4 linked regions of the Saccharomyces cerevisiae S288C genome follow. Changing the gene in region 4 together with the main gene of any one other region gives a genetic interaction. Each region holds a gene or a part of one and is shown on either strand. Other genes may lie near its edges.

The links.
Region 1: mutations in EAF5 (region 4) and HTZ1 impair growth when combined (synthetic growth defect), as found in Saccharomyces cerevisiae (7 studies listed by BioGRID, with this or other methods).
Region 2: mutations in EAF5 (region 4) and RRP6 together harm fitness more than expected from each alone (negative genetic interaction), as found in Saccharomyces cerevisiae (5 studies listed by BioGRID, with this or other methods).
Region 3: mutations in EAF5 (region 4) and VPS72 together harm fitness more than expected from each alone (negative genetic interaction), as found in Saccharomyces cerevisiae (7 studies listed by BioGRID, with this or other methods).

What each region holds. Positions count from the first base shown.
Region 1 is NC_001147.6:301,185-308,389, forward strand, and holds HTZ1 (histone H2AZ), read right to left. Parts: upstream 2,800-7,205; coding exon 2,395-2,799; downstream 1-2,394. Other genes in the region: E3 ubiquitin-protein ligase HRD1, read right to left, coding at 196-1,851; PLB3 (lysophospholipase), read left to right, coding at 4,165-6,225; RCL1 (rRNA-processing endoribonuclease), read left to right, coding at 6,754-7,205. UniProt on the Saccharomyces cerevisiae protein: Variant histone H2A which can replace H2A in some nucleosomes. Nucleosomes wrap and compact DNA into chromatin, limiting DNA accessibility to the cellular machineries which require DNA as a template.
Region 2 is NC_001147.6:323,135-332,002, forward strand, and holds RRP6 (exosome nuclease subunit RRP6), read left to right. Parts: upstream 1-3,697; coding exon 3,698-5,899; downstream 5,900-8,868. Other genes in the region: IZH2 (PAQR-type receptor), read right to left, coding at 277-1,230; PHO80 (Pho80p), read left to right, coding at 2,115-2,996; ALG6 (dolichyl-P-Glc:Man(9)GlcNAc(2)-PP-dolichol alpha-1,3-glucosyltransferase), read left to right, coding at 6,283-7,917; putative subtilisin-like protease YSP3, read left to right, coding at 8,321-8,868. UniProt on the Saccharomyces cerevisiae protein: Nuclear-specific catalytic component of the RNA exosome complex which has 3'->5' exoribonuclease activity and participates in a multitude of cellular RNA processing and degradation events.
Region 3 is NC_001136.10:1,422,842-1,432,096, reverse strand, and holds VPS72 (Vps72p), read left to right. Parts: upstream 1-4,889; coding exon 4,890-7,277; downstream 7,278-9,255. Other genes in the region: serine/threonine protein kinase PKH1, read left to right, coding at 1-129; DNA replication protein SLD5, read right to left, coding at 201-1,085; PAC11 (dynein intermediate chain), read left to right, coding at 1,308-2,909; 3,4-dihydroxy-2-butanone-4-phosphate synthase RIB3, read left to right, coding at 3,117-3,743; VPS60 (Vps60p), read left to right, coding at 3,977-4,666; VPS52 (Vps52p), read right to left, coding at 7,409-9,255. UniProt on the Saccharomyces cerevisiae protein: Participates in the catalytic exchange of histone H2A for the H2A variant HTZ1, an euchromatin-specific factor, leading to chromatin remodeling and changes in transcription of targeted genes. Indirectly involved in vacuolar protein sorting.
Region 4 is NC_001137.3:116,991-124,495, forward strand, and holds EAF5 (Eaf5p), read left to right. Parts: upstream 1-4,480; coding exon 4,481-5,320; downstream 5,321-7,505. Other genes in the region: protein transporter TIM9, read left to right, coding at 221-484; PXP1 (putative indolepyruvate decarboxylase family protein), read right to left, coding at 1,627-3,309; SUMO ligase MMS21, read right to left, coding at 3,508-4,311; PMP2 (proteolipid ATPase), read right to left, coding at 5,808-5,939; GTT3 (Gtt3p), read left to right, coding at 6,667-7,505. UniProt on the Saccharomyces cerevisiae protein: Component of the NuA4 histone acetyltransferase complex which is involved in transcriptional activation of selected genes principally by acetylation of nucleosomal histone H4 and H2A. The NuA4 complex is also involved in DNA repair.

The sequences.
Region 1 (7,205 bases), on a different chromosome or scaffold from region 4:
TCCCAGCTCGCCCCCTTTTTTACTATTGAAAAGTATTCGGTCAGACGTAGCTGATCGATGTAGCATGTGTACGCATTTCTAGATATCGAGTAATTTCCGCTGATGTATAATATATATATATGTGTGTGTGTGTGTGTTTTTCATCCAGTAGTTTTTTTCTTTAAAAAAAACTATGTATAATATAAAACATGCAATCTAGATATGCTGGATAAATTTATCTGGTATGACAATTTTCTTGGCAATTTGCTCGCCCCCGTCTCCATGCAGAGAATTTACTTCGTGATTTTCTATTGTTAATTTGACAGGAATACCATTTTCTTTCTCATCTGAATTTGTGATCAAAAATTCGTAGGCTGATCGGCTTGACCCAACAGAATTATCACCAGTTTTATGTAATGGGAACGTATACCACGTAGGAGATGGTGTAGAGGTTGACCTTGTTCTCATTGCTAATGTGTCTATATTTTGAGTAGGCACTATCCTTATATCAGGGGAAGTTGTTCTTGTGGGAAGTAGATCTACTTCGTTTGCGAAACCTTGTTGATCTGTCGCTATCCCAGTGCTATCTGTTACGGTGGTCTGTGTCGTGATATCACTATTGGAAGTGAAAGTCGTTTGCACAACATTACCTTTTTCATCAAAGACAGGCAATCTACAAATAGGACAAGTCTGAGAACGTTCCATCCAATTCTTTAAACACGACAAATGAAGTATGTGGCCACAAGGTAACCTTTTGGGTTTCTTGTTTTTATTCTTCCACGTCTGCTGGTTTGGAGAATGTATTAACTCATCCATACAAATGATACAAATATTGTCATCATTTGCAGAATTTTGTAGCTGTTCTACGGTGACAGTGACAAGAGTGTCGTCGAGCTGTTTGTTATTTCTCCAGATTTTCCACAAACTTGTGCCACTTTGATATAGTGCCAAGATATCCCACACCACATCTTTCAAAAGCATCATAGGCATCCTAAATGGTATTAGCATAGACAAATGAAGTGCCGTTTTTAAGAATCTTGTGAATACGTCAATTGCTTTTTCATACATGAATTTACCCTCCAGGCCGGTAAATTGTCTATCATCATCGTCGTCATCGTCGTCGTCATTCAGCACTGGCTGAGATTGATCAGACTCAACCGTGTTTTCATCTGTAGGATCGCCATGGACAATATGGTTGTTCTCATTAGACAGACTTTGTTGTGAGCGATAAAATTCCCAGAAATTCAAACAAGTCTGTAGGAATAAATTTAGCAAATCAATCAAAAGCATGGTAAACTCCATTACTTGTATCAGGTAAAGGGATGTGGATTCAATATCACTCTTTTGGTTTGTATATATGGAGGAGATGCATCGTGTTATTATCTGGTAGTCTACAACCGCCAATAGTACGAGGTTAAATGAGAATCTACTAAAGATAAGGGTTTTCATTGTGGTGGAATCATTTATTGACTGTAATAAGGCCTCCAGCCTATCCTTTAAAATCCAATGGAAAACTTTCAGATAGAGTAGTAATAGTCCAAAAAATGCCACTGTGAAAAAATACCGTTCGTGGAACAGTGAGGACATAAACAAGGTGTTTATAATGGTAAATGGTAACCTTTCAAAAATGTGCTCATGCTCAATAAGCCTCAGTTCACCAAATAATAGTTTCGTTAGGAGTTGCCATAGTAAGGTAGAATTTAATAAGATGAATATCGACAAAACCATTAGATTGAAGCCTTCATTTAGCTTCAGTGTTACTTGCAAAAAGGAAACGCTTGTCTTGGTGGCTGAATACACGCAATAAAATGTGAGCAAATATGTGACAACTACAAAAATTGCCAACTGTTTCCTTCTATTTTCTGGCACCATATTATTATTTTGTCTTTCTCCCCTTCTCTTACAAATTGCAATTGATAGATGATTTTCTGGTTATAAAAAGGAACCAACAAATCGGTAGAAAGTCGACAGTATAACTAGTGGTGAAGCTGTTATTAGAAATGGTAGGGGGGTTTTTTTTTTGTCCTGTCGGCACGTATGGAAATTTATCGTCTATTAAACCTTTTCTTTGATTTGATTTCTACAGTGTACTTTTGTAGGTGTCCTTAATTTCCATTTTTCCGGGTATGCAAAGTTCAACAAAAAGAAAGCCCTGACCAAATTTCTGCGTACATAACGGCTACTGCGCTATCGTTGGGAATATTGTGTGAGAGTATATTTTCATGCTATATATTATAGTAAAAACATAAGAGATTAGACGTGAAAGGAGAGATAGATTACATATATGTATGTATATAACTCGGGTACGGAGAGACAAATTTCAACTTATAATAATGATACAGACGTTAATATGGATAGAATGAGGATACAGGAGCAGGGAGAATTACGGGAAATGGGAAAGAAAAACTATTCTTCTTATTTCTTACTTCCCTTTTTTTCCACTTTCAATAATAATGCTTTATTTATATGAGGCAAAACACCACCTGAAGCAATTGTAGCCCTGATCAAAGAATCTAACTCATCGTCACCTCTAATGGCCAATTGCAGATGTCTTGGGGTAATCCTCTTGACTTTAAGATCCTTGGCTGCATTACCAGCCAACTCCAGCACTTCAGCAGTCAAATATTCCAACACAGCAGTCAAATAAATGGCAGCTTTGGATCCTACTCTTGTTCGGCCGGTAGCGTGCCTTTTCAGGTAACGCTTAATCCTACCGACAGGAAACTGCAAGCCAGCCCTTGCTGAAGAAGATTGAGATCTCAATGAACCACTGTCTTTAGCGCCGGATTTACCTTTACCTCCATGAGCTTTTCCTGACATTATGTTAAGTTATTTTTACGTGCGGCTATAGTGCGAAATTGAATTTAACGATATTTTTTCCGACTGAAGTATAATAGAGTCCGCAGTGTTTTTTAGTTGGGGGTTGTGACTCTATTACACTGGATAATAGTTCAGCTGTTAAATAGAGCTGTATGCTTTATTTGTTGTTTTTTTTGTTTTGTTGTTTTCGTGCACGGAGCGAGCGCGGCGGGTTACGGAACACCAGCGGCCAGTTCTACGAGTAGTAAGTTACGGGCGTAAAGTTACTGTGTGCTAATCTAGCATGGATGCATTCAGTAAACCTTTTCAATTGAGTCTAACGTTCTCTAAAGAAAGAAGAATACTGCTATTTTAGGTATGTGCTTACTACCGCTTGTGCGGACCTGCCCTGATTCCAAGGTAAGAGACAGTGATTCTTGTCCTAAGCTCTTTTCTCCGGGGCGGGCGGGCGGCTGGCAGACATATTGATTGCGGGTAACACCTCCGAGGTTAATTAATCAAGCAACGTGCGGAGTTTTATCACATGGATGTTTCTTATCACCGGGTGCGCGCCACGCAATATATAAAACGGTAAACATACGCTGTTGCAAGGCAAGACACAACAGCGGCAAACACTTCAGAGAATACAGACGATAGTCATCAGCACTCCTAATAATCGTATAATGAATACTATACGAAGCTTTGTGCGTTGCAAAAAGAGCATACCAGGCGAAGAGAGCGCAGTTAGTAGGTGATCGGGAAATTGCTGAGTACAGTTGTTTGCCTCCTGTGATACCGCGTCACATGACCATTTAAAAGTGTCCATAATGTCATCGGTAACGTCACACTCACATGAGTTTTCCTGACTTCAGCCTCCTTCATCTCGCGTTAATACGCCAGCATCGCGCACCATATTACTGCCCGCGTAATCCAATTCCTCCTTTCGTTCTCAATGACTAAAACGCAAATCATTTTTCCTTTTTTTTTGAAACCGGTGGACGCCCCATAGAACTTCCAAATCAGGAAATACCGCAACTTCATCCGTTTTCGTTTCGCTTTAGTCCTCCACGAAAATATCTTGCCGGTTCCGCGAATGTTGTACTGGTTCTTCTGTGCAATGAGCCTTTTTCTCTTCTTTCTTTTTCCCTGCTTTTAAGATGGCTTGGCTATGGAATTACTCAATTTGGCACTTCTTTTGCAAGATCCAGACTTGCAGGGATTCTATCACCATTATTACCACACTACTATGTTATTGTTACGCTTTTCATCCACTTTTATATAAGTTATACGTGGTTTTACGAGTTCTAATATTTCACTTTTCAGCTTGGAATACGCCGTTTTAAGAGGACTAAAAGCAAGGAAATTACACACATAATAATATAAGTAATGATACGTCCATTATGTTCAAAAATTATTATCAGTTACATATTCGCAATTTCTCAGTTTCTACTGGCCGCTAATGCGTGGTCGCCCACAGATAGTTATGTTCCTGGCACCGTGTCGTGTCCCGATGACATAAATCTGGTAAGAGAGGCTACGTCTATATCTCAGAATGAGAGCGCATGGTTGGAAAAGAGGAATAAAGTCACTAGTGTAGCTTTAAAAGATTTCTTGACTAGGGCTACTGCAAATTTTTCAGATAGCTCAGAAGTTTTGTCGAAGCTATTTAATGATGGCAACAGCGAAAACCTGCCGAAAATTGCTGTCGCCGTTTCAGGTGGGGGCTATCGGTCCATGCTAACAGGTGCGGGTGTTCTAGCAGCAATGGATAACAGAACTGAAGGTGCTTATGAGCATGGGCTGGGTGGACTTTTACAAAGCACAACATATTTATCTGGTGCCTCGGGCGGCAACTGGCTAGTTGGTACATTAGCCTTGAACAATTGGACATCCGTGCAAGACATTCTTAATAATATGCAGAACGACGATTCTATTTGGGATTTGTCAGATTCTATTGTTACCCCCGGCGGCATTAATATATTCAAAACAGCCAAAAGGTGGGATCATATCTCTAATGCTGTCGAATCTAAGCAGAACGCCGATTACAATACTTCTTTGGCCGATATTTGGGGCAGAGCCTTGGCGTATAATTTTTTCCCTTCTCTAAATAGAGGGGGTATAGGCCTGACTTGGTCTTCCATTAGGGATTTCCCAGTGTTTCAAAATGCTGAAATGCCTTTTCCAATTTCTGTTGCGGACGGTAGGTATCCTGGAACAAAAGTCATCAATTTGAACGCAACGGTTTTTGAATTTAATCCCTTTGAAATGGGATCCTGGGATCCCTCTTTGAACTCTTTTGCCAACGTTAAGTACCTTGGAACGAATGTCTCCAATGGTGTACCATTGGAAAGGGGAAAATGTACCGCAGGCTTTGATAATGCAGGTTTTATCATGGGTACTTCCTCCACCTTATTTAACCAGTTTCTTTTGAGAATAAACTCCACTCACTTACCTAGTTTCATCACAAGATTAGCAAGACATTTTCTAAAGGATTTATCTCAAGATTTTAATGATATCGCTGTTTACAGTCCTAATCCATTTAAAGACACGAAGTTTTTGGATAGTGACTATACGACAAGTATTGTTGATTCAGACAGCCTATTCTTAGTTGACGGCGGTGAAGACGACGAAAATGTTCCTGTGTTACCGCTTATACAAAAGGAACGTGATGTGGACATTATTTTTGCGGTAGATAATTCTGCCGATATGAGATTGGCTTGGCCTGACGGTTCTTCTTTAGTCCATACCTATGAGCGTCAATTCGTTAAGCAAGGTCAAGGTATGTCCTTCCCATATGTTCCAGATACGAATACATTCGTTAATTTGGGTTTGAACAAGAAACCAACCTTCTTCGGTTGCGATGCTAATAATTTGACCGATCTTCAATATATTCCACCTCTAGTTGTTTATCTGCCAAATGCAGAATACTCTTTCAATAGTAATCAGAGCGCGTTCAAGCTATCATATTCCGAATCCCAAAGAAGAAGTATGATTCAAAACGGGTTTGAAATTGCAACTAGGAACAACTTCACTGATGATCCTGAATTCATGGGCTGCGTCGGCTGCGCCATCATTAGACGTAAGCAACAAGCTTTGAATATTACTTTGCCTCCGGAATGTGAAACCTGTTTTAAAAATTATTGCTGGAATGGTACCCTGGATACTACCCCATTACCAGATGTTGAAAAGGATGTTCACCACTCCTTTATCAACGTCAATAGCTTCAACAGCTCCATAGGACAAGAAGAAAGTCTTTACGCCGGATCTTCAGCTTCCCAGTCATCGTCTTCATCATCGTCTTCATCTTCGTCTTCGGAAATTCCTTCGGCTACTGCAACCCTTGAGAAAAAGGCAGCTACTAATTCTGGATCACATTTATCTGGCATAAGTGTAAAGTTCTCTGCTATGATTATGCTTACTTTATTGATGTTTACCGGAGCAGTATAATATCTCTTGCGTAATAACGGTATACAAAATGAGGCAATAAAAATCAAAGAACTACACTATAAAATAACGAAACATAAAGCTGAAAGACTAGCAAAATCACTAAAAAACTAAAATAAAAAAAGAAAATGAGCATTTCCCCTTTGCATTGAAGTATCATCCCTTTCGGGCAAGACCATGTTTAAGGAACTTCACTAATGACATCGGAGGTCTATATATAGCAGACCTCTTCTTTAAAAGATATAACTTTATAATTATAACCCCGCGCAAAGCGTATTAATACTTTAAATGGGTAGTCAAGTTGCTTTTATTACTTGCACTTACTTTGAAGGAGGATGTCAGAATTACCCTCGCCATATTGGTAATGTAATTTTTCACGGACTCGAGATTGAAAAAATTTCAGAAAAATTTGCAAAAAAGTGCCGATGAGATGAGCCTTCATAAGCTACGTATGTTGTAAGGGTATAACATCTGTCAAGCTTCACCATTGTCAACACTTTTCCACTAGGATAATCCTCCAAAAGTATAGCAATGTCATCTTCCGCCCCCAAATACACCACTTTCCAAGGGTCACAAAATTTTAGGTTACGGATCGTCTTGGCAACATTATCAGGGAAACCAATAAAAATTGAAAAAATCCGTTCAGGCGACTTAAATCCCGGTCTGAAAGATTATGAAGTGTCTTTTCTAAGGCTGATCGAGTCGGTCACCAACGGGAGTGTAATTGAAATTTCTTATACCGGTACTACTGTGATTTATAGGCCCGGTATCATAGTTGGTGGTGCATCAACTCATATCTGCCCTAGTTCCAAACCGGTAGGTTATTTCGTCGAACCAATGCTATATTTGGCTCCATTTTCAAAAAAGAAATTTTCTATATTATTCAAAGGCATAACTGCATCTCACAACGATGCCGGTATTGAAGCTATCAAATGGGGACTCATGCCCGTTATGGAAAAATTTGGCGTTAGAGAGTGCGCCCT
Region 2 (8,868 bases), on a different chromosome or scaffold from region 4:
ATACATGAGACAGCCAATAAATAGTGGAAATAAGCCGTATTTTAAATTGAGAGCTCTTAGTAAGAAAAATGTTCCTCTGAGACGCTAAAGTCGTGTATATTTCATATGAGAAAGTGCACAAATCCTGCTTCCCTTCTATCTGGGAATTTCTTTTCTATATTTGAACATATTATTGTAAGGGCCTTTTTCTTTATTCTCTTCTCACATATAAGAACCATTTTATTATTTTAACTTTAAAACTACTTTCTATATAAATCCTACGTTTTTTCCAAATATCTAGGAGACAATCCCGTTCTCCATCTTTATATGGACTAACTCATAACTATTTAATAAACCTCTCAAGTGGCACAATGCCGCAATAACAACTAGAAAATGGAAAAGTTGGTGAGAATGACCCCAAATATCAAATTTACCGGGGCAAATCTTTTCAGGAAACCGCATTCCATAAAGAACAGCGCCAATTATATATAGGACACCCCCAAGTAATACCCAAAAGAGCTGAATTTGGGTCCAAATTTCTGAAAAACTATAGCAGTAAAGGCCGCTGAATATTGGAATAATTGAGGATAAACCAAAACAAACAAATAGCCCAGCTCTGTAAGGTCTCCACTCTCTTTTCCGAAACTTATCTTTTAGTGACACAATACTACACGCGATCCCAAAGCTAACGGTAATAAGCGCAAATAGGCAAAATAGGGAAAATTTCTCAAAATAGCCGTAGTACAAAATACTGACCATTGACGTAACAATCAATATACAAATACCAAGGTAGTCCAACTTATTTCCTAAGGTAGCAATTCTTAAGGAGTGACTCTTTAGACAATGAAAGGAGCTACTCAATATTAAACATGCAAACGCCCCCGAATAAAAGAGGTCGATTACCATATGATCTAGCCATGTAGTTGTTGCAAACACTTTGATAGTAGATTTATCTAGCAACAGTACAGTGAAGAACCCGAGAGCAGGAATTAAATGTGAATAAATATTGACACTTTCATTATGCAAATAAAACAAACTTTTAAAAGTTTCAATGAAGCTACTAGTTTCTTTCACGTATCCATGTAAAATAAAATCATTGTCTCTTTGCCATTCCGGAATTTCATCCCAACTATATAGCCTTCTTAGTACTTTTTTAGCTTTAGCGACCTCTGCGGGATTTGCGGATGTTTTCCCTGCAGCTCTCTTCTTCAGCTCTTGCACACTCTTAGTCCTTTCTAATAAAGTTGACATTTGGAATGATTCTTCTCCAACATGCAGCATAATTAAAACGACGGGAAATTTAGTACATTTGGCTCAAGGAACGCTGACATAAATACTATTTCTAATCTACTATTCGAAGAGATGTTGGATTTCTAAAAAAAAAAGAGCTCAACAACGGAAGACCGCCTATTAACCCCGAGTGTCTGTTTTTTAGTATACTCGAAGCAAACAAGAAAAGTTTGTTACTTAATTTCTGGCCTAAACAAGGTAGTGCTACCCTAGAGGAAGTACGATATCAGTACACTTTTGTATTTTTAACGAATTATGGTATTCTTTAAAATATTTAACATGCTATCGAGTTTTTCTTTCTAAAATGCGGTTTCAAAATTTGAGTCCGCTTTCTATGGAAAATATGAATGAGGCGAACGTGCTTGTACCATAGTCAGATTTTAACCCGTAGGTGAGAGCCTGAGGCTTCTGTAAACCACCTTGGAAACACATACGGGTTATAAGATTTTAACAAACAATCAGTCTCCATACTCATCCTAGGATCTCTTCTTCATTTGATGAATAAAGGATTCAAACTTCAGAAAGTTATTCAGCGTATATTGGCTTTCCTTTAATCTAATGCCCCAAGCCATCATAAATAGCCATATTACTTTGAAAGTGCTCATCCGTATACACTGCAACTTTTCTTCTTTTCTCTTTAGCCGATTATAGCTCCTACCTGTTTTTTTTTTCTTCTTAAGATTATTTATATTCCAATTTTATCATCCGTATTGTTTCCAATAGCGTTCCAGTGATCAGTTATATACTTCGAGAGGCAGATAACCTTTCTTTTTATAAGTGTTTATCAAATTTAAGTCTGCAAGCTATCATAAGACGAGGATATCCTTTGGAGACTCATAGAAATCATGGAAAGCACATCAGGAGAACGTTCCGAAAATATACATGAGGATCAAGGGATACCAAAAGTAATTCTGCCCGCTGATTTTAATAAATGCTCTAGAACTGACCTAGTGGTGCTCATATCACGAATGTTAGTATCGCTGATAGCAATCAATGAAAATTCAGCAACAAAGAAATCTGATGACCAAATTACTTTAACACGATACCATTCTAAGATTCCTCCAAACATATCAATCTTCAACTATTTCATACGACTGACAAAGTTTTCCTCTTTAGAACATTGTGTGCTTATGACATCACTCTATTATATCGATTTATTGCAAACTGTGTATCCTGATTTTACGCTTAATTCGTTGACTGCCCATAGGTTTTTATTAACAGCCACCACAGTCGCAACAAAAGGCTTATGTGATTCGTTCTCAACAAACGCCCATTATGCAAAAGTTGGAGGAGTACGATGTCACGAATTGAATATACTGGAGAACGATTTTTTAAAGAGAGTAAACTACAGAATCATTCCGCGGGATCATAACATTACGTTATGTAGTATAGAGCAAAAACAGAAAAAGTTTGTCATAGATAAAAACGCATTAGGGTCTCTCGATTTGGATTCTTATTCTTACGTTAATCGTCCAAAAAGTGGATATAATGTTCTAGATAAATACTATCGAAGAATAGTTCAGCTGGTGGGTTCCTTTAACGCTTCACCTGATAAGAGTAGAAAGGTTGATTATGTTCTCCCGCCAAATATTGATATAGTGAGTGAAAGTGGCTCCCAAACTACTCAACTAAAGGGGTCGTCATCACCCAATTCTCACTCTTCACAAAAGCGATATTCTGAGGCAAAGGACGCACATATCTATAACAAGCGATCAAAGCCAGATTAATGATTTTTCGTGGGGTATTATGAAAGCAATCATGATTGAGCAAAATTAAAACTTTCCATTTGTACATATATATATATATATATATATATATCTGTGTGTGTATAATAAGCAATTGGCCATCATTTGGCTAAAAAGTTCAAGATTTCAGGTAGTATATAAGAGAATAACTTCCCTCTTTTGCTAAAGAAGGATATGTTCTATTTCAGCCTTTTTGCATCATAAGAGCATAAGCGACAGAAAACACTTCGAGATGAGCTTGAGAACTCCATTTCAATTAACTTGATAAATACATGTAGATTCATATCATCACTGTTCTTTTCAGATACTAGTTTCAAAACTTCCTTGACAGAACCATTTCATGTTCAATAATGAAAATTACTTTCACATGTTTTAGTGGAAAAATACTGAACAATGAAATTTCAATATCGCATATAATAATTTTTGTTATCAAATATATATTTTTCGGAAGTCATATACATTAAATAATTAAAACATTATTTTTAAAAATTAAAAAAATATATTTTAGCAAATAGTTTTTACTTTTTTTTAAATGCAAAATAAGTTCACGTGATATTATTAATAATATTTTACCCAAAAATATGAGGGCATCGGAAAATTTTTCAGTAATGAATATTAATGTTCATCTGAAGATAGACGAAATAGGAACAACAAACAGCTTATAAGCACCCAATAAGTGCGTTATGACTTCTGAAAATCCGGATGTACTTTTATCTAGGGTGATAAATGTGGTGAGAGCAGCATCATCGTTAGCCAGTCAAGATGTAGACTTTTACAAGAATTTAGACAGGGGATTTAGTAAAGATCTGAAATCAAAAGCAGACAAACTTGCGGATATGGCGAATGAAATAATCCTCTCTATTGATGAGCATCATGAATCATTTGAACTTAAAGAAGAGGACATTTCTGACTTGTGGAACAACTTTGGAAACATCATGGATAATTTGTTAGAAATGTCAGACCATTCGCTGGATAAGCTGAATTGTGCAATAAACTCAAAGTCAAGAGGTTCCGATCTTCAGTATTTAGGCGAATTTTCAGGAAAGAATTTTTCTCCCACCAAAAGAGTCGAAAAACCTCAGTTGAAATTTAAAAGTCCAATTGATAACAGCGAAAGTCATCCGTTCATACCTTTATTGAAGGAAAAACCAAATGCTTTGAAGCCACTCTCTGAGAGTTTGAGGTTGGTTGATGATGATGAAAATAACCCCAGTCACTACCCCCATCCTTATGAATATGAGATTGATCATCAAGAGTATAGTCCAGAAATTCTCCAAATTAGAGAGGAGATTCCCTCAAAATCCTGGGATGATTCGGTACCAATTTGGGTAGATACAAGTACAGAACTCGAATCAATGTTGGAGGACTTGAAAAATACGAAAGAGATTGCCGTTGATCTTGAGCATCACGATTATAGGTCATACTATGGTATTGTTTGCCTCATGCAAATTAGTACAAGGGAAAGGGATTATTTAGTTGATACTCTAAAACTTCGCGAAAATTTACATATTCTGAACGAAGTGTTTACGAACCCTTCAATTGTGAAAGTTTTTCACGGTGCATTCATGGATATTATTTGGCTTCAGCGAGATTTAGGTTTGTATGTCGTTGGTCTCTTCGATACTTACCATGCGTCTAAAGCAATCGGTCTTCCTAGACATAGTTTGGCCTATCTTTTGGAGAATTTTGCCAATTTTAAAACTTCAAAGAAATATCAGTTGGCTGACTGGCGTATAAGACCGCTTTCAAAACCCATGACGGCATATGCTAGAGCAGATACTCACTTTTTACTAAATATATATGACCAGTTGAGAAACAAACTTATCGAGTCTAATAAGTTAGCAGGTGTTCTTTATGAATCAAGAAATGTCGCAAAAAGAAGGTTTGAATATTCAAAGTACAGACCACTGACACCTTCTTCAGAAGTTTATTCTCCAATCGAAAAAGAGAGTCCTTGGAAAATATTGATGTATCAGTACAACATACCACCTGAGAGGGAAGTATTAGTAAGAGAGCTATACCAATGGAGAGATCTTATTGCAAGAAGAGACGATGAATCGCCACGATTTGTTATGCCAAACCAGTTATTGGCTGCACTTGTCGCATATACACCTACTGATGTCATAGGTGTTGTTTCTTTGACCAATGGCGTAACTGAACATGTCCGCCAGAATGCAAAACTATTAGCTAATTTGATAAGAGATGCATTACGAAACATCAAGAACACCAATGAGGAAGCTACTCCCATTCCATCTTCCGAGACCAAAGCAGACGGAATATTGTTGGAGACTATAAGTGTTCCTCAAATCCGTGATGTTATGGAAAGGTTTTCGGTGTTGTGCAACAGCAATATTTCCAAGAGCCGAGCCAAGCCTGTCACTAATTCTTCTATTCTGTTGGGTAAGATTTTACCACGTGAGGAGCATGATATTGCATATAGCAAAGACGGCTTGCCAAATAAAGTGAAGACGGAAGATATCAGGATCCGAGCACAAAATTTCAAGTCTGCCTTAGCAAACTTGGAGGATATCATATTCGAAATAGAGAAACCTCTCGTTGTTCCTGTCAAGCTAGAGGAGATTAAGACAGTAGACCCTGCGAGCGCACCTAATCACTCGCCTGAGATTGATAATCTTGATGATCTTGTTGTTTTAAAGAAGAAAAACATTCAAAAGAAACAACCAGCAAAGGAAAAAGGTGTAACGGAAAAAGATGCTGTGGATTATTCAAAAATTCCGAATATCTTATCTAATAAGCCTGGCCAAAATAATAGACAACAAAAGAAAAGGAGATTCGACCCATCATCTAGCGATAGTAATGGACCAAGGGCAGCTAAAAAGAGGAGGCCTGCCGCCAAAGGTAAGAATCTGTCATTTAAAAGGTGATTATGTAAAACAAGCGTATTTTTTTATTTATAAATTATGGTAATTTTCATTTAAGACCTCTAAATTCATCTAATCGAATATCTGTGTCATGGAGTTATGGCTCCCCCATGCACACCATTTTCTCTTTTTTTGTTTCTGTGTTTCCCTTCATCTCCTTTATTATGAAAAGTACAAGTTTTATATAATTTCAACGTCGGAGGTTATCCGGAAATCTATAGTTGAATTTTTGCAGGATTATACTTCGCTCGAATATTGTGCGTGTTAAATACTCAGCGAGAACAATACTTCCAAGTTAGAAAAGGGATTTGCTCATGTTAAAGCAATGGCACTCCGAATGGACGGTGTCAGGAATTCTTTTCTTCACATCAGGCTTCGCATAGAAAATGGCCATTGGCAAAAGGTTACTGGTGAACAAACCAGCAGAAGAATCATTTTATGCTTCTCCAATGTATGATTTTTTGTATCCGTTTAGGCCAGTGGGGAACCAATGGCTGCCAGAATATATTATCTTTGTATGTGCTGTAATACTGAGGTGCACAATTGGACTTGGTCCATATTCTGGGAAAGGCAGTCCACCGCTGTACGGCGATTTTGAGGCTCAGAGACATTGGATGGAAATTACGCAACATTTACCGCTTTCTAAGTGGTACTGGTATGATTTGCAATACTGGGGATTGGACTATCCACCATTAACAGCATTTCATTCGTACCTTCTGGGCCTAATTGGATCTTTTTTCAATCCATCTTGGTTTGCACTAGAAAAGTCACGTGGCTTTGAATCCCCCGATAATGGCCTGAAAACATATATGCGTTCTACTGTCATCATTAGCGACATATTGTTTTACTTTCCTGCAGTAATATACTTTACTAAGTGGCTTGGTAGATATCGAAACCAGTCGCCCATAGGACAATCTATTGCGGCATCAGCGATTTTGTTCCAACCTTCATTAATGCTCATTGACCATGGGCACTTTCAATATAATTCAGTCATGCTTGGCCTTACTGCTTATGCCATAAATAACTTATTAGATGAGTATTATGCTATGGCGGCCGTTTGTTTTGTCCTATCCATTTGTTTTAAACAAATGGCATTGTATTATGCACCGATTTTTTTTGCTTATCTATTAAGTCGATCATTGCTGTTCCCCAAATTTAACATAGCTAGATTGACGGTTATTGCGTTTGCAACACTCGCAACTTTTGCTATAATATTTGCGCCATTATATTTCTTGGGAGGAGGATTAAAGAATATTCACCAATGTATTCACAGGATATTCCCTTTTGCCAGGGGCATCTTCGAAGACAAGGTTGCTAACTTCTGGTGCGTTACGAACGTGTTTGTAAAATACAAGGAAAGATTCACTATACAACAACTCCAGCTATATTCATTGATTGCCACCGTGATTGGTTTCTTACCAGCCATGATAATGACATTACTTCATCCCAAAAAGCATCTTCTCCCATACGTGTTAATCGCATGTTCGATGTCCTTTTTTCTTTTTAGCTTTCAAGTACATGAGAAAACTATCCTCATCCCACTTTTGCCTATTACACTACTCTACTCCTCTACTGATTGGAATGTTCTATCTCTTGTAAGTTGGATAAACAATGTGGCTTTGTTTACGCTATGGCCTTTGTTGAAAAAGGACGGTCTTCATTTACAGTATGCCGTATCTTTCTTACTAAGCAATTGGCTGATTGGAAATTTCAGTTTTATTACACCAAGGTTCTTGCCAAAATCTTTAACTCCTGGCCCTTCTATCAGCAGCATCAATAGCGACTATAGAAGAAGAAGCTTACTGCCATATAATGTGGTTTGGAAAAGTTTTATCATAGGAACGTATATTGCTATGGGCTTTTATCATTTCTTAGATCAATTTGTAGCACCTCCATCGAAATATCCAGACTTGTGGGTGTTGTTGAACTGTGCTGTTGGGTTCATTTGCTTTAGCATATTTTGGCTATGGTCTTATTACAAGATATTCACTTCCGGTAGCAAATCCATGAAGGACTTGTAGTTACATTTTAACTTATATAACTGTACAATGTCAGTCAGACGCAACTGATATAAAAGATGTGCTCTACAAGTAAAGATTATTTCAACTCTTAAAAATATTTGAAAAATGCACTATAATTTGATCTAAATAAGGTACAGATAATGGTAAGGCAAAACTACTACATTTGGCAGTGAGTATTGTTAGCTTTTCCGCTTATTTTCTCTCCTGGAGTAGCCACCGTTCGCGTCTTCCGAGCAATGGCGAATCTCGAATCTCGGAAGGGCGGCTACTGATAACAGGCACTCATATATATATTATTAGATAAGAGTTTTTTTTGACTGAGTCCTTATAACACGTAACTTATCAAGTTGCTATATTGTAAGTTCAGGTTTCCAATCTGTTCAACCACTTTATATCTTTAAACATGAAATTCTCTACCATCTTACCTATACTTTGGGCAAATTGCTGTCTTTGTATGATCATCCCTGATTTCGACGGGATAGTTCGTTTTATTGAGAATATTGATGGTACTCGCAGTGTAAGAGCAGGAGAAGGTTTGGGACAGCATGATCCTGGAAATTTTCACACTGAACATCAACATGTCGCTCATAAAACAGAGTTTCTTCCTTATCGGTATGTCATAGTCTTTAATGAAGATATTTCCCTCCAGCAGATTCAATCGCATATGCAAGTGGTACAGAAGGATCATAGTACCTCAGTAGGTAAGCTTACAGAAAATGACGCTTTTTGGAGGGTAATTTCTTCTTCAGTATCATCTAAATCTCAATTTGGAGGTATTGATAATTTTTTTGACATAAATGGTCTATTTCGAGGTTATACTGGCTATTTCACTGATGAAATCATTAAAATAATCTCCCAGGACCCAATCATAAAGTTCGTAGAGCAAGAAACTACAGTAAAAATATCTAATTCGTCATTGCAGGAAGAAGCGCCTTGGGGTTTACATAGAGT
Region 3 (9,255 bases), on a different chromosome or scaffold from region 4:
CCCGAAGAAGGCGCACTTCACACAAAACGTCCCACTTCGTTGCAGACCCGATCGTCATCTAATTACTCAAAATTGCTGGCAAGATCGACACAAATGCGGAAAAACATGACACGGACAGATGAAAAATGAAACTGTGCTTGATAATATATATATATGCATATGTAAGACATGGTGAAGGGGAAAGTGTAATGCATAATAGTTCAAATAAGAGCAACTTTGTCGTCTCTCAGCAGATCCCTAATGACTTCATATCTCATAACGTAAATACTTCCAATAGTGAGTTCAACCTCTTCCTTTAAATCGGGTATTGTGACCGTGTAGCAAGGTTTACCGAACTCGTTTTCCTGCAATAGCGGATCTTCGTTCCATTTACCATCTGGTGGGCCGTTAACGTGTATAAAGACAAATTTGTTCCAGTCGGGCTCATCTATCATGTTTACGCTACCTTCTGTATCATTAATAGCCTGAAGTTCTTCGGGCATGTATTTCAGGATAGAATCATTGACTAGTTTCAACCAGATCAGGGAATGCGTGTCATGGTATTTGATTTCATCTTTGGATAGTAAATCTGTAAGAGAGATCAGCGAATTTTCATCTTCATTTAATTGGCGCAAATAAAGTGAGAATTTGTCAATTTTGCTTAGCCTACATCGTATGTAGCTTCTAATAACAAATTTCAATCTTTCTAACTCAGTTTCCATGCAGAGTAAAGGCAATTTAGATTCGTTAGGCATAGGCGGGTTCGCATTAGAAGCATTTTGCATATCGAGGAATCCCATTGAAATGTTTTCAATTAATTGAGATTGCATGGATATTCGATTCAATAATCTTTTCATCAACTGATGAGGATATGGTAAGAGTTCTGGCGAACACCGTTCATTTTTCCAAGACTTCATCAAGTCAGAAAAATCCTGCTGGGGAGAGACATATATCTGAGTCTTGTCATTCAAGTCTAAGGACGAACCCACTATTGTATTTGCATCTCTGTGGGTAGTGGAAGAAGAACCTTGCGTGATCTTGGTAGAGTCGACAGCAGTAGTTTCCTTATCCAGTTCTGCAAGAATATCGTCTATGTTAATGTCCATCACCGAGTCAGGTATCTTATTCTCCTTCCCAATACTAACAAATTTGGTTTTTCTTACCTATGGCTCAAATATAATGCTATTGAAATTTTCAGTACTAGTCCAAGGCGAAAAGAAAAAGAAATGAACTAGTTTTCGTGTTTTGCCGTAAACAAAGAGAAAAGGGAAAAAAGAGCATCACAGTTGGTTAATCAACCAAAGAGGAAGAAGGATTGAAACATTAAGATGGAGCGATTGAAGCAACTGGAGGAAAAAAGGAGACAATTGAAAGAGCTGCGTGAGAGGCGAAAACAAGCCAGCTTGTTCCCTGGGAGCGAGACGATGGGCCACCATCCCACAGAGGTGCACGCTAAGGCAACCATGGTCAGCGTTTCAGTGCAGACCGACATGGAGGAAGGCTCAAAGATTCAAGAGCCCCAATCTGCATATCTTCGACGTAAGGAGGTTATAACATACGACAAAGGCATTCAAACAGATCAAATTGAGGAAGAACAACTGCAAGAAAATGAAAATCACACCACTACTGATGCTGTCGCCATTGAAACTACTGCTGCCGACGAAAATAATAAAGACAAAGCTGAAAACGACCAGCCAAGGTTAGAACTAGCCAAACCTTTTCTTGTTGAAGAGGCGGCGGCAACGCTGAGCAACGCTAGTTTTGCGCGGCTGGAGACAGAGGTTTCTGCGTCAGGCCAGCAGGCGCCATCGAACATGCAACAGGATAAAGACAACCTCATGCAATGGAACATGGTCAGTGAGAATTTACAATCAGAGACAGACTGCGATTGTATCGCTCAGGAGTATGACCCAGGAAAAGGCGTCTTGGTTGTGGTTTATCTACGATTGCCGCCGGCAGACCTACAGTATGCTAGCAGCGAAGCGGCGTGGTCTGTGGTGAATGTAGTCAAGTGCGATAATGCCAGCGGACGCAACGGCCTCTTGATAGATATGGTAGAGTTCCGTGGTACGCGGATCATGACAGCCACGATCCTCCGTCGGTATCATCCGGAAAGCAATGTAATATCAATCTTGTTGGCGACCTTGACGGGCAAGATCATATTGTACGAGCTTAGATTGAAACAGAAAAAGCCAGAAACACCGGTAGTGTATGTCGTGCAGCGAAATATGGTGGCAAGACACTACTTTCAGCACCCAGTGGTGGCTGTAATTGAAACAAGCAGCGTGCAAGATCAAGAGAGAGTACTTGTGGCAGCTGATAATGGCAATATTATGGAGTTGAGCTGCCTGGACTTGACTGTTTTGCGGAAGCCACAGCAGCTCCGTCCTGTACCGCTATCACAGCTTTTATCTTTGGAGAATGATACTTGCACATATACGGAGCGATTGCAGCGGTTGGCAAAGTTTGATGAGGTAGGTATAGCTTGCATGGCGTACACGAGTGAGGACCCGCAGTACGTCTGGATCGGTGGCGAAGACGGTGGTATATACAAGGTTTTCTGGGACCAACCTGGGCCGCTGTACCTCTCTTTGGACAACAATGGGTTCCAACCTGCAGAAAACCACTCTACGAGGGTAACCGGGTTAGAGTTTCATTGGGACGATGCTCGGCGGCTAATGCTTCTATTATCATGTTCCACGGACTGGACGGTGCGGCTGTGGGACGCGCGAGCAGGGAAAGCTATCATAGGGGCGCCATTGTTGTTAGGGGGGCCCGTACTACGTGCACGCTGGCTCGAAAAAAACAATGGAGGGGAAAATAGTCGCACTCTACGGTGTCAAGTGTGGTGTGCAGATGGTCGCCTCGTTGTTGTAAATTGGGCTTTCGATGCTAAGACGTCCCTCTACACGGCCACTGTTATCTCCTAACGCCGCTTCGAGGCGGGTGAGCATAGGTTATTGCCTGATGAGTAATTTCTTAGCGAGAATTGATAAAAAAAAGCAAGGCTATTATTAATATACGTGCTATTGTGAAATTTTCATTGGCGTATATATGTGAGGTGAATGTAAATATCTCCAACAAAAAGCAGAAGGCTAAAAAAAAGGAAAGGAAAAGAAGAAAAGGCAACGTCGAAAATGTTTACACCAATTGATCAAGCTATAGAACACTTCAAGCAGAATAAGTTTGTAATTGTTATGGACGATGCCGGTCGTGAAAATGAAGGTGATCTTATTTGCGCTGCTGAAAATGTCAGCACTGAACAAATGGCCTTTCTTGTACGCCATTCCTCAGGCTACGTCTGTGCACCTATGACGAATGCCATTGCTGATAAGTTGGACCTTCCACTACTGAGAACAGGCATGAAGTTTGAATCCAATGATGACGACAGGCATGGAACTGCATACACAATAACTGTAGATGTAGCCCAAGGCACTACCACAGGTATTTCTGCTCACGACAGGTCGATGACTTGTAGGGCTCTTGCAGACTCTTCCTCTACGCCAAAATCATTTTTAAAACCAGGGCACATCTGTCCCTTGAGAGCCGCTGATGGCGGTGTTTTGCAGAGAAGAGGCCACACTGAGGCCGGTGTCGATTTGTGTAAACTAAGTGGACTAAGTCCCGTCGCTGTTATTGGCGAATTGGTTAACGATGACGAACAAGGAACTATGATGAGATTAAATGACTGCCAAGCGTTTGGTAAGAAACATGGCATTCCTTTGATCTCCATCGAAGAATTGGCCCAATATTTGAAGAAATAATCTGGTGAACATTTTCTCCATTCATTCTATCACAACAGACTCACACATATATACATGTATATATTTGTAACTTTGTATATATCTTTTGTTTTTTGACCTTTTTCTTCCTCTATGTTTTTCAGCCATACAAAAATATGGGATTTTTAGCAAGAGAAAAAGTACATCTAAAAAAAGTAGTAATAGGAGGAAGCCAAGATTGGTTGAAACACAGTTATAAACTCTTCAAGGCAATTATGAACAGGATTTTCGGATATGGGAACAAAAAGAGCCATGATCAGCTCTTACAAGAGTCGAATCAGTCCATGAATCAGGCCCAACAATCACTATCGAACAGAATATCCCAGTTAGATACTCAAATCGCCCAGTTAAACTTCCAGCTGCAAAATATTCAAAAGAATTTGCAAAGATCAAACAACAAGCAACCCTCGTTAAGAAAACAGGCTTTGAAGATTTTAAATAAACGTAAACAGTTAGAAAATATGAAGGATTCTTTAGATTCTCAATCCTGGTCCATGACGCAAGCCCAGTTAACAAATGATAACTTACAGAACACAATGATCACTATAAACGCACTAAAGCAAACAAACAATGCCATGAAGGCTCAATACGGCAAGATAAATATCGACAAACTACAGGACATGCAGGATGAGATGCTGGATTTAATAGAACAAGGGGATGAGCTGCAAGAAGTCTTGGCAATGAATAATAACAGTGGCGAGCTCGACGACATTAGTGATGCAGAGCTGGATGCAGAGCTGGATGCTCTGGCACAAGAGGATTTCACTTTGCCAACCAGCGAAAACTCATTAGGTAACGATATGCCCAGTTACTTACTAGGTGCGAATGCGCCACCGGCTTTTATTGATGAAGAGCCAAACTTAGATACTGAAGACAAAAATAAAGCTTTAGAAAGCGCTCAGTGAAAACAAAAAGCACACAAAGTTGCATATTCAGAATTTTTCTCTCCTTTCCCTTTTCTTTATATTCTCTTTGCTGGTAAGCCAAAATATGTACCTTATTTAGGTTTTAGTAGTTTTCTTTTTTCTTTGTTAAAAAAATCCTGATGGAAAAAACAGTAAGCAGAAAGCACCATGTAGTCTAATGAATACAAATAGAAGTGAAACCGAAGCAAATTCACAGTGCACGATGAGTGATGAAGGTGCTGATAAAAGTCTAGATACTAACACAGAATTTATTATACAAACACGATCTAGGAGGTCTAATGCCGGTAATAAATTACAAAAACTATTGGAGCAGGAGCTAAGAGATATAGAATCTACCAAAAGACAAATTTCTTCCTATAAGAATGGTAATGATGATGAAGAAGATGAAATAGGGCTGTTGTTTCAGGAAGATGAAGATGATGAAGATTTCGAAATGATGGCAAAAGATGACGATGATGAAGGGGAAGAAAAAGAAGATGAGACTCAAAGTATAAGGAAAGAGCCCTCTCAGGCTTCAAGTGAGCAAGCAGCCGATGACTTAATGTTCAGCAGTAGCGAATCTGAGGACTCCAGCAACGAGAATGATGAAGATGCAGAGGAAAAGGAAATACGAAGACAAGAACTACTTTCAAGAAAGAAAAGAAACAAGAGATTACAGAAGGGTCCCGTTGTAATCAAAAAACAAAAACCTAAGCCTAAGTCAGGAGAAGCTATACCAAGATCGCACCATACCCATGAACAATTAAACGCAGAGACGTTACTATTAAATACAAGGAGAACTTCTAAAAGATCATCGGTAATGGAAAACACGATGAAAGTTTATGAGAAATTGTCTAAAGCTGAAAAAAAGAGAAAAATTATACAAGAAAGAATAAGGAAACACAAGGAGCAGGAGTCTCAGCATATGCTGACACAAGAAGAGAGGCTACGGATTGCCAAGGAGACTGAGAAGCTGAATATTTTGTCACTGGATAAGTTCAAGGAACAAGAAGTTTGGAAAAAGGAGAATCGTCTAGCTTTGCAGAAAAGACAAAAGCAGAAATTCCAGCCAAATGAGACTATACTGCAATTTTTATCTACTGCTTGGCTAATGACGCCAGCGATGGAGTTAGAAGATCGTAAATATTGGCAGGAACAATTGAATAAACGTGATAAGAAGAAGAAAAAATATCCGAGGAAGCCAAAGAAGAATTTAAATCTCGGAAAACAGGACGCATCAGATGATAAAAAGCGGGAGAGTGAAGAATCGATAAAGAACGATGGCGACGTGAATTCTTTGGGTGAGAATTCTTCATCTGTACACAACCAGAAAAGGATTGAGGAAACTTCTACTAACGATACAGTTGAAGGAGAATCGAGTCCAGATGCAGCGGTGAGTAGAGTAAATTCAGACGAATTAAAGCCAACAGCATTACCTGATGTTACATTGGACGCAATTGCAAACAAGCAGAGTACCGTTGATGAAGCTCCCAACAGCCAACCACAAAAGAATATAATAACTAATGAGCAAAAAATTACCAATGTAGGCGAACCGATACAAAATTTACATAATGAAGAAATTAAAGATGAAATGGTAAGTGCTCTCGAGAGCAGGGAAAATACTTTTGAAAACTCATCACCTGCTGCCCAAGTGGTCTCACAAAGGGATAATTCTGCAACACCTACACCATCAAACTCCACTGGCACTGAAGATACTATATTGATCTCTCCGGATACGGATATAAAAGGAGAGCCTGAACCTTGTCTGAAAACCGAAGGCATCGAGAACTTATCTCATAATGTACCACAAGAGACCAAAAGCAATACTGATGTTTCTTTCTTGAAACAAGTAACGTTTACCGACCATCCGCAAGTGGCCATAATCGATACTGAAGAGTCACCCTCAAAAAAAGATACAGCTAATGTTGATGAATCTTCCGCGGAAAACTCTTTATCAACACAGACCTACGAAGGGCCTGAGCAATTAACCTCAAGGAACTTTGTTACACTTTATGATTTTCCTAATGCTCCTCCAAATCTAAAAGATTTTAACACAAACTTATTTGGTGATCGATGGTCATACACAAATGGGTTATCCGCCACTCAGCGTCCACAAGATATGAAAACTGTTTTCCACTCCATTTTACCATCACCTCCTCAGTCTTCAGTACCGTCTCCTACCGTAGATATATCACTTGATCTGTCAGCTCTGGCAAATTTCCCATCTTTTGGGGAATACGATAAGAAAATAGTCCATCAAATCAACACAGAGATAAATAAGGATTTGGAAATCAAAATTAAAACACAGCCTCCAACGGGTGTCTTCTTAGCCAATGGTATAAGAAAAAAATGTTTAATCACAAATAAAGAATGTCAGTACTTTGATCCAAGGACTGGTGTGCCTTATTCTGATGTGGAAGCTTATAAAATTATTCAGCGGATTCAAGATCCTATTTCTAAGGAGGAGGGAAGGTCAGATATCAAGCGTGATGAAACGACAAATGAGGATAGTGACGATCAAGTGAGATTCAAGTGGTTTGGGTTCAAAAACGGCGGTATTTACCTTGATTTAAGTCAAAGACCTGCAAAAGGTGTTCCTGAAGGATTTTAATTGAGACAGACTATATAATGGTAGGTCGTTAAACATTTGACTATATTCCACACAAAATAAGAAATCATAAAGATCATTTTACATAAAAATATACTTTATACGCTCCATGTCTTATACAATCGTTACATTCATCAATTTCTGGTGAAAGCTTCAACTAAAGTTTTGAAATGATTTTCGGTCTCTCTGATTATTAGTGGTACGCTTGAATCATTATCGTCGTCATTCGCAACTTTCGTACCAACATTTTCAGCAGAATCAAAATTGTAGTTTTGTGCATCCGAGTCATTTATATTTAAATGTAGATGCAATTGCTGTAGGTTATTGTATAAATACATGTAATTTGTAGCCAGAAATCTTTCTGGTGATTTCGTCTTTTTACTGCACTTTGTCATGACTGTTTCGAAATCATTTCTTAATCTAATGATGGAATTGTATAAGGGTTCAGATCTTTCGTCTATGGACTGCTTATGTGTTATTGCCAACGTCAAGAAGCTTGATAAAAATTTACCGAACTGTACAGTTAACTCATGAGGTGAGGTCAAAGGGCTACTATTGGATGTGCTTGAGTTGCCGGCATATTTTGCCACATTTGTAGTTATTGCCGCTTTTCGTAAGCTCTCGCATTGAAAATCGACCAATTGCTGAAATCGAGGCCATAATTGAATTAATTGACCATTCAAGAAACTATCAAACATAGACGGTATTCCTCTCCTTTCTGATTCAAATTGTAATTGATTGGCCACACGAATACTTATTAATACACCAAAAATGTCATAATTATATTGGATCAGTTGTTGAGTGTATGTTGTGGCTTCATCAAAAGTTGGTTGAAATATTTGTTCCAATAAACCATTAATTTCCTCAAAATTATCGCCATTCATAGCGAAGAAATCTTTTAAAAAATGGTACTCCACCGTACAGTTATCTAAAATTGCAAGGTTTAAATTTTTAAATCCAATTTCAATGTAGTTTTTCGTTGTGTTATTTTCTGCAATTTGGGATACCATTACCGTATTGTCTTCTTGTGTTAAAATGTTCAATCTTTTCTTTATCTGAAAGTATTTATCAATTTTCTCATCTGTTACAGGGAGTTTATTATAGAAAGCATTTGAAGCGGATGTAGTTAGATAATTTGAGAAAAACAATGATGGTGAATTGTTAAACCCACTCACTGAAGTTGTAGAAAGGCCATTACCCAATGCAAATTGCGAGTCGATTTGTTGAAATTGCAAAATAGTCAATGACCTGATATATCTAGAAAAGTATTCTCTATAATACCATTTCATTGTGTAACAATATGCCTGTCTTAACTCAAGGGCTAAGGAGAGATTATTATCTCTTATGAAGGGGAAAATTTTTTGAACTTTTAATAATTTGTTTTGTATCCTTTGCGATGGTACTGGGTTATGACTCCTCAAAGTTTTGATTTTGGAAATAATAAGTCTTTTCGACCTTTCTAGAATAACATTTTTTAGGATGTCCAGGAGTTGACATAACTTATCAAAATCCTTTGGTGCTAGCATTGCTGAATTTTCTGCGTCCTTGTTGTCTTGATCGAGATTATTGGACCTATACTTGTTATAAATTTCTTCTTTATCTGCTATGAATGTTATATTATCCTGCCAGCTTTCATTGATCTTCCCTTTAATGATGTCATCAATGAGTTCAGGAGGAATCATCAAATCATTAACCATAGGAGAGATATGTGCCAGTTTAGTGGAGTTGTATTCGAGCAATGACTGTAATTCATTGGACTTTTTTTTAATGAAGTCTAAATCTTGTGTGTAATTTGATAACCTATTAGTGAATTCGGTTAAGTAATCAATCAATTGAGGAATAATTATATTAATAGCCGCTTCATTGTTAGAATGAGTTTCCTGTAATGATTTAAGTTTAGCAAATGGTGACTGATCTTTGTTTGAAGGCGCTTTAAATTTACAATCCTTCAAATAGTTTTCAAAAGGATCATCCGTTTCAT
Region 4 (7,505 bases):
TGCATGTATACTAAACTCACAAATTAGAGCTTCAATTTAATTATATCAGTTATTACCCGGGAATCTCGGTCGTAATGATTTCTATAATGACGAAAAAAAAAAAATTGGAAAGAAAAAGCTTCATGGCCTTTATAAAAAGGAACTATCCAATACCTCGCCAGAACCAAGTAACAGTATTTTACGGGGCACAAATCAAGAACAATAAGACAGGACTGTAAAGATGGACGCATTGAACTCCAAAGAACAACAAGAGTTCCAAAAAGTAGTGGAACAAAAGCAAATGAAGGATTTCATGCGTTTGTACTCTAATCTGGTAGAAAGATGTTTCACAGACTGTGTCAATGACTTCACAACATCAAAGCTAACCAATAAGGAACAAACATGCATCATGAAGTGCTCAGAAAAGTTCTTGAAGCATAGCGAACGTGTAGGGCAGCGTTTCCAAGAACAAAACGCTGCCTTGGGACAAGGCTTGGGCCGATAAGGTGTACTGGCGTATATATATCTAATTATGTATCTCTGGTGTAGCCCATTTTTAGCATGTAAATATAAAGAGAAACCATATCTAATCTAACCAAATCCAAACAAAATTCAATAGTTACTATCGCTTTTTTCTTTCTGTATCGCAAATAAGTGAAAATTAAAAAAGAAAGATTAAATTGGAAGTTGGATATGGGCTGGAACAGCAGCAGTAATCGGTATCGGGTTCGCCACTAATGACGTCCTACGATTGCACTCAACAGACCTTGACGCTCACGCCGTAGCGGGCGACAAGTCAAACGGAACAACCGTTGCCGTTCCCATCGGAGTCCGACCTAGGCCGAACTCCGTGAATTTCTGATAACAACGGTCGGTAAAGACTGGTTCCCCAGTATATTTCTTCTCTCAGGAGCAGGGGCCAATGCCAAAAGCGACATTAACCCGGAGGACAAGGCTCCACTGTGTTCCACCGAATTTCCCACCTGATAATATCTGATAACCCGCCCATAGGTGGGGATCCTTCTGTAAACAGGTTTCTTAATCGTAGGAATTACCACTGTTCCACTGCCAATCGCAGCTCCCAGAGTTTCGTTCCCAGCCGCGAGCACCACAGCGTACCATGTGCGCCACGAGGCCTCAAACGTAAAACAATCGAAACGAAAAGAAACAGACTATAGGGGAGTATAGAGACAGCCGGCCAATAAGAAGAGGAAAAAGAAATACTAGCGTTTATCAATGTGGGTCGTTAACATATCCTGTTGACAATGATTACAGGTTAAAAGGTAGCGTAAGTGAATATTAACTATGGATATTCTTATACTTAGATAAGAGACATATAAAACACACGATGATTGATTGATTTTTATGACCAATATATGTAATTCGTAATTCAGATAGTTTTTATACTTTTAATGTGTGCCGAACCATATTACTAGTATATGTAACTACCATGTTATGTTCAATTGGCAGATCTTTAACTCGGCTTTAGTTATCCAAGTTACTTGCAATATTTCCTTCTGCGAGAGTACATTTGCCCTTAAACGTATACGAGGTATTCATTAATGTGTGTTGTAAGTATTTAGATTGACATCTATAAGAGAGATGAACATATATATATATATATATATATATATACATGCATATTTACTATAAACGCGGTTTATTCTGCCAGGCAAAGGCAATTTGCTTTTGTTCGCCAGGCTCAATGATAACGTTGATGACACTTGTTTCTCTTTTAGTCCGAGAAAGCTGCACGGCTTGTTGGAAGCATCTGCTCAGTTCGCTTATTGTGTTGACAAAAAAATCATTGGCACCCAGTCCTTTGCCTACGAGATCGTAACGGCAGTTCTTGCTTAGTGCCGTTGGAGGTAAATCACCCTCTATATCCTTTTCTCCATGGTAAATACCGCTATTGTTCATCACAACGATGACCAATGCCAGCTGACACCTTACTGCCGTTTCAATTTCCATGGCAGAGAATCCAAATGCGGAATCACCCTGAATCAGCACCACATCGAGTTCCGGATGAGATGCCTTGCATGCAAGAGCATATCCGAGCCCAATCCCCATAGTCGCGTTGGTCCCTGCGTCTAAACGGCGCCTTGGAGCGTCTGTAGGGAATGAAATACGCGCAATATCCATAGTATTTGCTCCCTCCGTCACAAGTATTGTCCTGTAATCATCGATAAGAGGCCTCAATGTTCCATAAACCTGGTTGTAATTCAATTGTGCCCCTCTAGTCTTCTCTTTCCTCAATAGACGAGTTTGATTCAGTTGAATTTTCTCTCGTATTTCTTGCTTAACACCACTATACTTCCAGCAGGAATCTTGGCGAGTCAATTCCTCAACTAAAGCGGTTACGCTCAAGCCTATATCTCCCCATATGGAAAGGTCAGCACCAGGTGAGACATTGTTATCCCCCAAGGTTTCGGGATTGGAATCGAACTGGATGAATATGGATTCTGAGTTCCATTTGGGTGAAGTACCAAAATGCAATATCCAGTTTAATCTTGCCCCGAGAACAAGAACAATATCCGCTATTTTCAATGCTTGAGATCTTGCAGATGAAACGTTCAGTGGAGAAGAGTCTGGGACAATTCCCTTAGCCATTGGGGTGGGTAAAAATGGTAGATTGAACGTATTTACTAGTCTGCGGATTTCGTGTGAGTTTTTTACCGCACCCTTTCCAATAACAATCAGAATATTTTTATTTTTATGTTGCAAAATAAGCTGTACGACTTTTTTGATCTTCGACGGATCAGGGCCACATATGTTTGGAGTTAATATCATCGGTAATTCATTTCCTGTACGGTCGTTTCCTTCTAAGGGTTTTTCATACTCAATAAAATCTGCAGGGACGTCTATGTAAGAAACCCCTGCAGTGCCTTGTATACAGTAATTCAAAGCCTTCTGAGTAATCATGTCAATATTGTCAGGGGTTAACTTTCCGGTAAACTTCAAAAATGGGGACAAAAGACTAACTTGATCCAACTCTTGAAACCCGCCTTTATGTATATCACTTTGAGAAGAACTCCCTGCAATTACTAGAAGAGGCCACCTATTACTCATTGAGTTGTATATACCAGCCAGTGCGTGGATTAAACCGGGGCCCCCGACAATAAGTAACACGCCGGGCTTATCACTAATATAACCATAAGCAGAGGCTGCATATGAGGCAGCCTGTTCGTTCCTGCATGGAATGAATTTGATACCGTTGGCAACCATCGTATCCGCTAGTTGGACAATAGGGATGCCCACAATTCCAAAGACTGTGTCGATGCCATATTTTTGTAAAAGTTGAGCGAAGTGTTGGGTAGCGGTCGTGGTCATATTGATGGATGGTTGTGACGGTTTGAATGTAGAGAGTATATTCTTCTTATCACATAAAAGTAACCAATGCCTTTTTTTTCCTTTATATATAATGTGGTTATATACCAACCTTTTGTAAATTTCCAACTTTTTTCTTTAGTTAGCTTTGCTTGAACTTCGGGCCGAAGGGCTCGGATAAGAGAAACAATAATTTTGTTTTCATAAAACATCGATGGCTTGACTACTTCTTTTATCCTGTTCCTGAGATTCTTTCATCTTGGCGATCTTACACCTTAGTTCCATAATAGGGTCTCTTACAAAATCCCTCATTGAAACGACTTGAGAACACGCTGCTTGCGGGCAATCTCTTGTCGTGTATCCTTGTAAATAGTTTTGAATGCCGTCTCTATCGAAGACGTGATTACATTTTCTTGATATCAATGGTGCTTCGTAAGGTTTGCAGGTGATAGGACAAGTCAATTCAATTTTACCACCTTCTATTTGTAGATCGTCTTCGTCTGCGGGGTTTTGCAGATCCGGTATTACACAAGTTGGATCATTCCATATGTACGGCAACACTTTTAGTATCTTGAGTGTATCTGTGTTATTAACCATGGTTGCAGGCTCTGGTGTGGGCATATTTAGATATAATTCAGATAATTTGGGAGCGGTGAGTTCTCCGGTACGATATTTATCCCAGGTAGAAAGGTCGATTTGCGGACAGGCATCTGAGGATTGTTTGAAATTTTTTTTTAAATCTTTAATATGTTCGTCAAATGAGTTGGATTCCGATTCGTATGTCGAGAGGAGTTTGTAGGTGCTAGTAATATCTGCGACCTGCTCTTCAATGCCGATGGTGGAAGGAGATGTAGAATCCACTAATTGATTTATGGTCTCATCAATTTGTTTGTAGCATTGTTGATATATATTTGATAAGTCTCGGGCATGTAAATTATGGAAGTACTTACCTGATTTTGGGTGTAGAGGAACTGACTTGGGTATAGGATTATCGTTCAAGGCCATTTTTAAAGTTATTCTTTTTTTATATAGTCTTGCCTTGGTTTCTTTAACTGACACGATTATTTTAGCAAGTTTTTTTCTACACAGGAAAAGAGGAAGAAAATAACCAGAGAAGCACTGGTAAAAAGATACTTCTGCGTGCCGGAGTAACCAGAATCAAAGGAACGCATAGATGGATAAAGAGGTAAGTGAATTGGTAGTGTTGCAGCTAATACACACTTTAATTTCCAACAAGAATGAAGAACTGGTTAGGAACGGGGGAGGAATCAACATGATTGGGAATAATCTTCGAATATCGCTAGTCAAGTTGACTAACGAAATACAAAACAATTTGCTAATCAACGAGCTGACAAATTTAAGAAGGCAAAGCAACGTGGCAAATGGAAACAGGAAACTGGGCATCAACGATATCCTGACCATAGTTAAGAATTTATTCCCAGAGTACAGAACAACACTAAACGATGGACAACTTAGTCTACACGGTTTGGAAATGCATGATATCGAGAAGCTCCTTGACGAAAAGTACGATCGATTCAAGAAAACGCAGGTCGAACAAATAAGGATGATGGAGGATGAGATATTGAAGAACGGTATAAAGACCGGTGCATCGCAACTGCAACCACATGCAAATGCTGGCAAAAGTGGATCTGCTGGTACCAGTGCTACTATAACTACGACTACGCCACACATGGCGCATTCAATGGACCCAAAAAGAGAAAAACTATTGAAATTATACAGAGATACCGTTCTGAATAAATTGGAAAGTAAAACTGGGAATTTTCAGAAGCTATTCAAGAGTCCCGATGGTAGCATTATCAAGAATGAGATAAATTACGAAGACATAAAGAACGAAACGCCCGGCAGCGTTCATGAACTGCAGCTGATTCTTCAAAAGAGCATAACGGACGGTGTAATGCGAAAGGTCATTGGTACGGACGACTGGAAATTGGCTAGACAAGTGCAGTTTGAATTGGATGATACGGTGCAGTTCATGAGAAGAGCACTAGAGTAAGGAGATAGTAGGCGACACTTCGAAAATCTAAAGTCTTGTAACATTACTATTATATACTATTTTATTAAAAAAATACACACACAATTCTTTAACAGAACAATATATAACAAATGAAGCGACATGTTTCTCAAAAAAAAACATAGTAGGTAGGTAAAAATGGGAAAGAACGGGACAAACAAAACGAAGAGCAGGGTGTATTTGCCCACACACGGCAAACAACATCCATTCACGCCCGCATGCCCAAAACTTTTTTGCGATAAAACGCCCACGCAAATCACATCGTTCCAACAGAGGAATCGAACAGCACAGATACAAAGTAGGAATATAGCACACACACAGGAAAAATTAATTAATTATTAGAAATTAAAAGGGTTGGGGAGAAAAGAGGTCTAATTTATTCATTAATATTCAGTAATTGAAAAAAAAAAAAAAAAGAGGATAACTAAGAGAAAACAACATCAAGCTCGTTTGGCTTGCTAGTGATCGCTTAGAATCTTTGTAAACCTCTTTGTCTAGCTTGCCATTTTCTGTAGATAATGGTAGAAATGATGGCGATACAAGCCAAACCGACTAGAATAAAAACTAAGATAACACCACCTGGTAACGTGCTCATCAACATCTTTGTATAATTGTTATTGTACTATTTATTGTTTTGTATGTATACGATGGAGAAAAAGAGAAAGGAAGAAGGAAGGACGAAAGAGAAAAAACTGGAAGGGAAGAAGAATTGATTTTATATTAACCAAGAGGAAGGAAAGGAAATTGAGTTGTGATTACGGAATTTTAGTTTTTTTCACTGTTTATTTAAACCAAAAGGTGTGGAAGAGAAAGAGAGAAAAAAGTTCTGTAATTCGTTAAGGAAATTAAGTATCCGCGCCGGAAAAATAGCGAGAGGTTTTTTTTGATGCAAAAGCTAGGGAGGGCTGCGGACGGATTTCGAAAACAGCTCAACAGCGTGGTGACGAGTTGCGTCAGGGTGTTGGCCAGTGCTACCGCGGGCGGCGCTGCACAGGGAGTAAGCAGAGCGGGCTAGAGCGCGGTTTTGGAGAGGGCCCGGGCTGCTGTGGTCGTAGGATTGCGGTAATTTAGTGGCTCGCCCTCGTTTGTCGTGCTTTTTCCGAGTTCCGAAACTCTTTCCCGAGCTGTTAATGTGCTAAAAGTGGTAAATCGTATATGATGATATACGTATATGATGATAATTTCCTGCGCGCTACTTGCGTGCATTCGTCACTCATAACAAAAAGAACTACACAATACGTAAACAACGTGCGAAAATATCTATATACAAGGGGAGAAAACAAAAGTGAAAGTGCATTACAGCCCATCACAGATCATTATAATACAATATGCCGACCAAGTCAACTTTTAGTCGCTGGAAGAAGGCGGACCTAATTGACCTGGCCAACAAGCTGGAAATTGACGGCTTCCCCAATTATGCCAAGAAGAGTGATATGATCGATTACCTCGAATCGCACTTGAATCATCTTGAGAAACCTGTGGATTTTAAAGACGACTACCCGGAACTAAGGTCCTTTTATGAGTCGATGACAGTGGACCAGTCAAAGGATGAACGGAACGAATACGGATCCGGATCTGGAAACGGGTCTGGGTCTGGATCCTGTGACACCGCCACAAATGATTCCGATCTGGAGAAAGCGTACATCAAGGAGGATGATGATGAGAAACCGCAATCAGGCGATGAAACAAGCGCGACAAAGCCGCTTTCCAGCAGGAATGCAAATTCAAACGCCAAAACGAACTTCAATTTGTTGGATTTTAGCACAGATAACGACTCGTCCACCTCTGCGTTTACTAAGTTCAAGTTTAACTTTCAGGAATACCTCTCCGATATTAGATACCAAACGCAGAAATTGAATGAAAATGTTCAGGACTATCTTTCCACTATTTCCGCCGTCGATACGATTTTTTCCTTGTTGGAATTCTCTTTTCTGGTGAGAAACATATTAGCCGCCGGGCAGCCAACTTCTTCTTCTTCGCTCGCATCGTCGCTGGAAGCCGCCGTTGCCGCCCATAATAAATATCAATACACGCTCGATTTCTGTTTACCAATACTCACGTGGCTGCTCTTCTTTAGGGGTATTCCAACGTTAGTGTCATACTACATCAACTTCATCCGCTACGACCTGAACATCGAGTTGGACCCGATGACTTTCAATCTCACGAA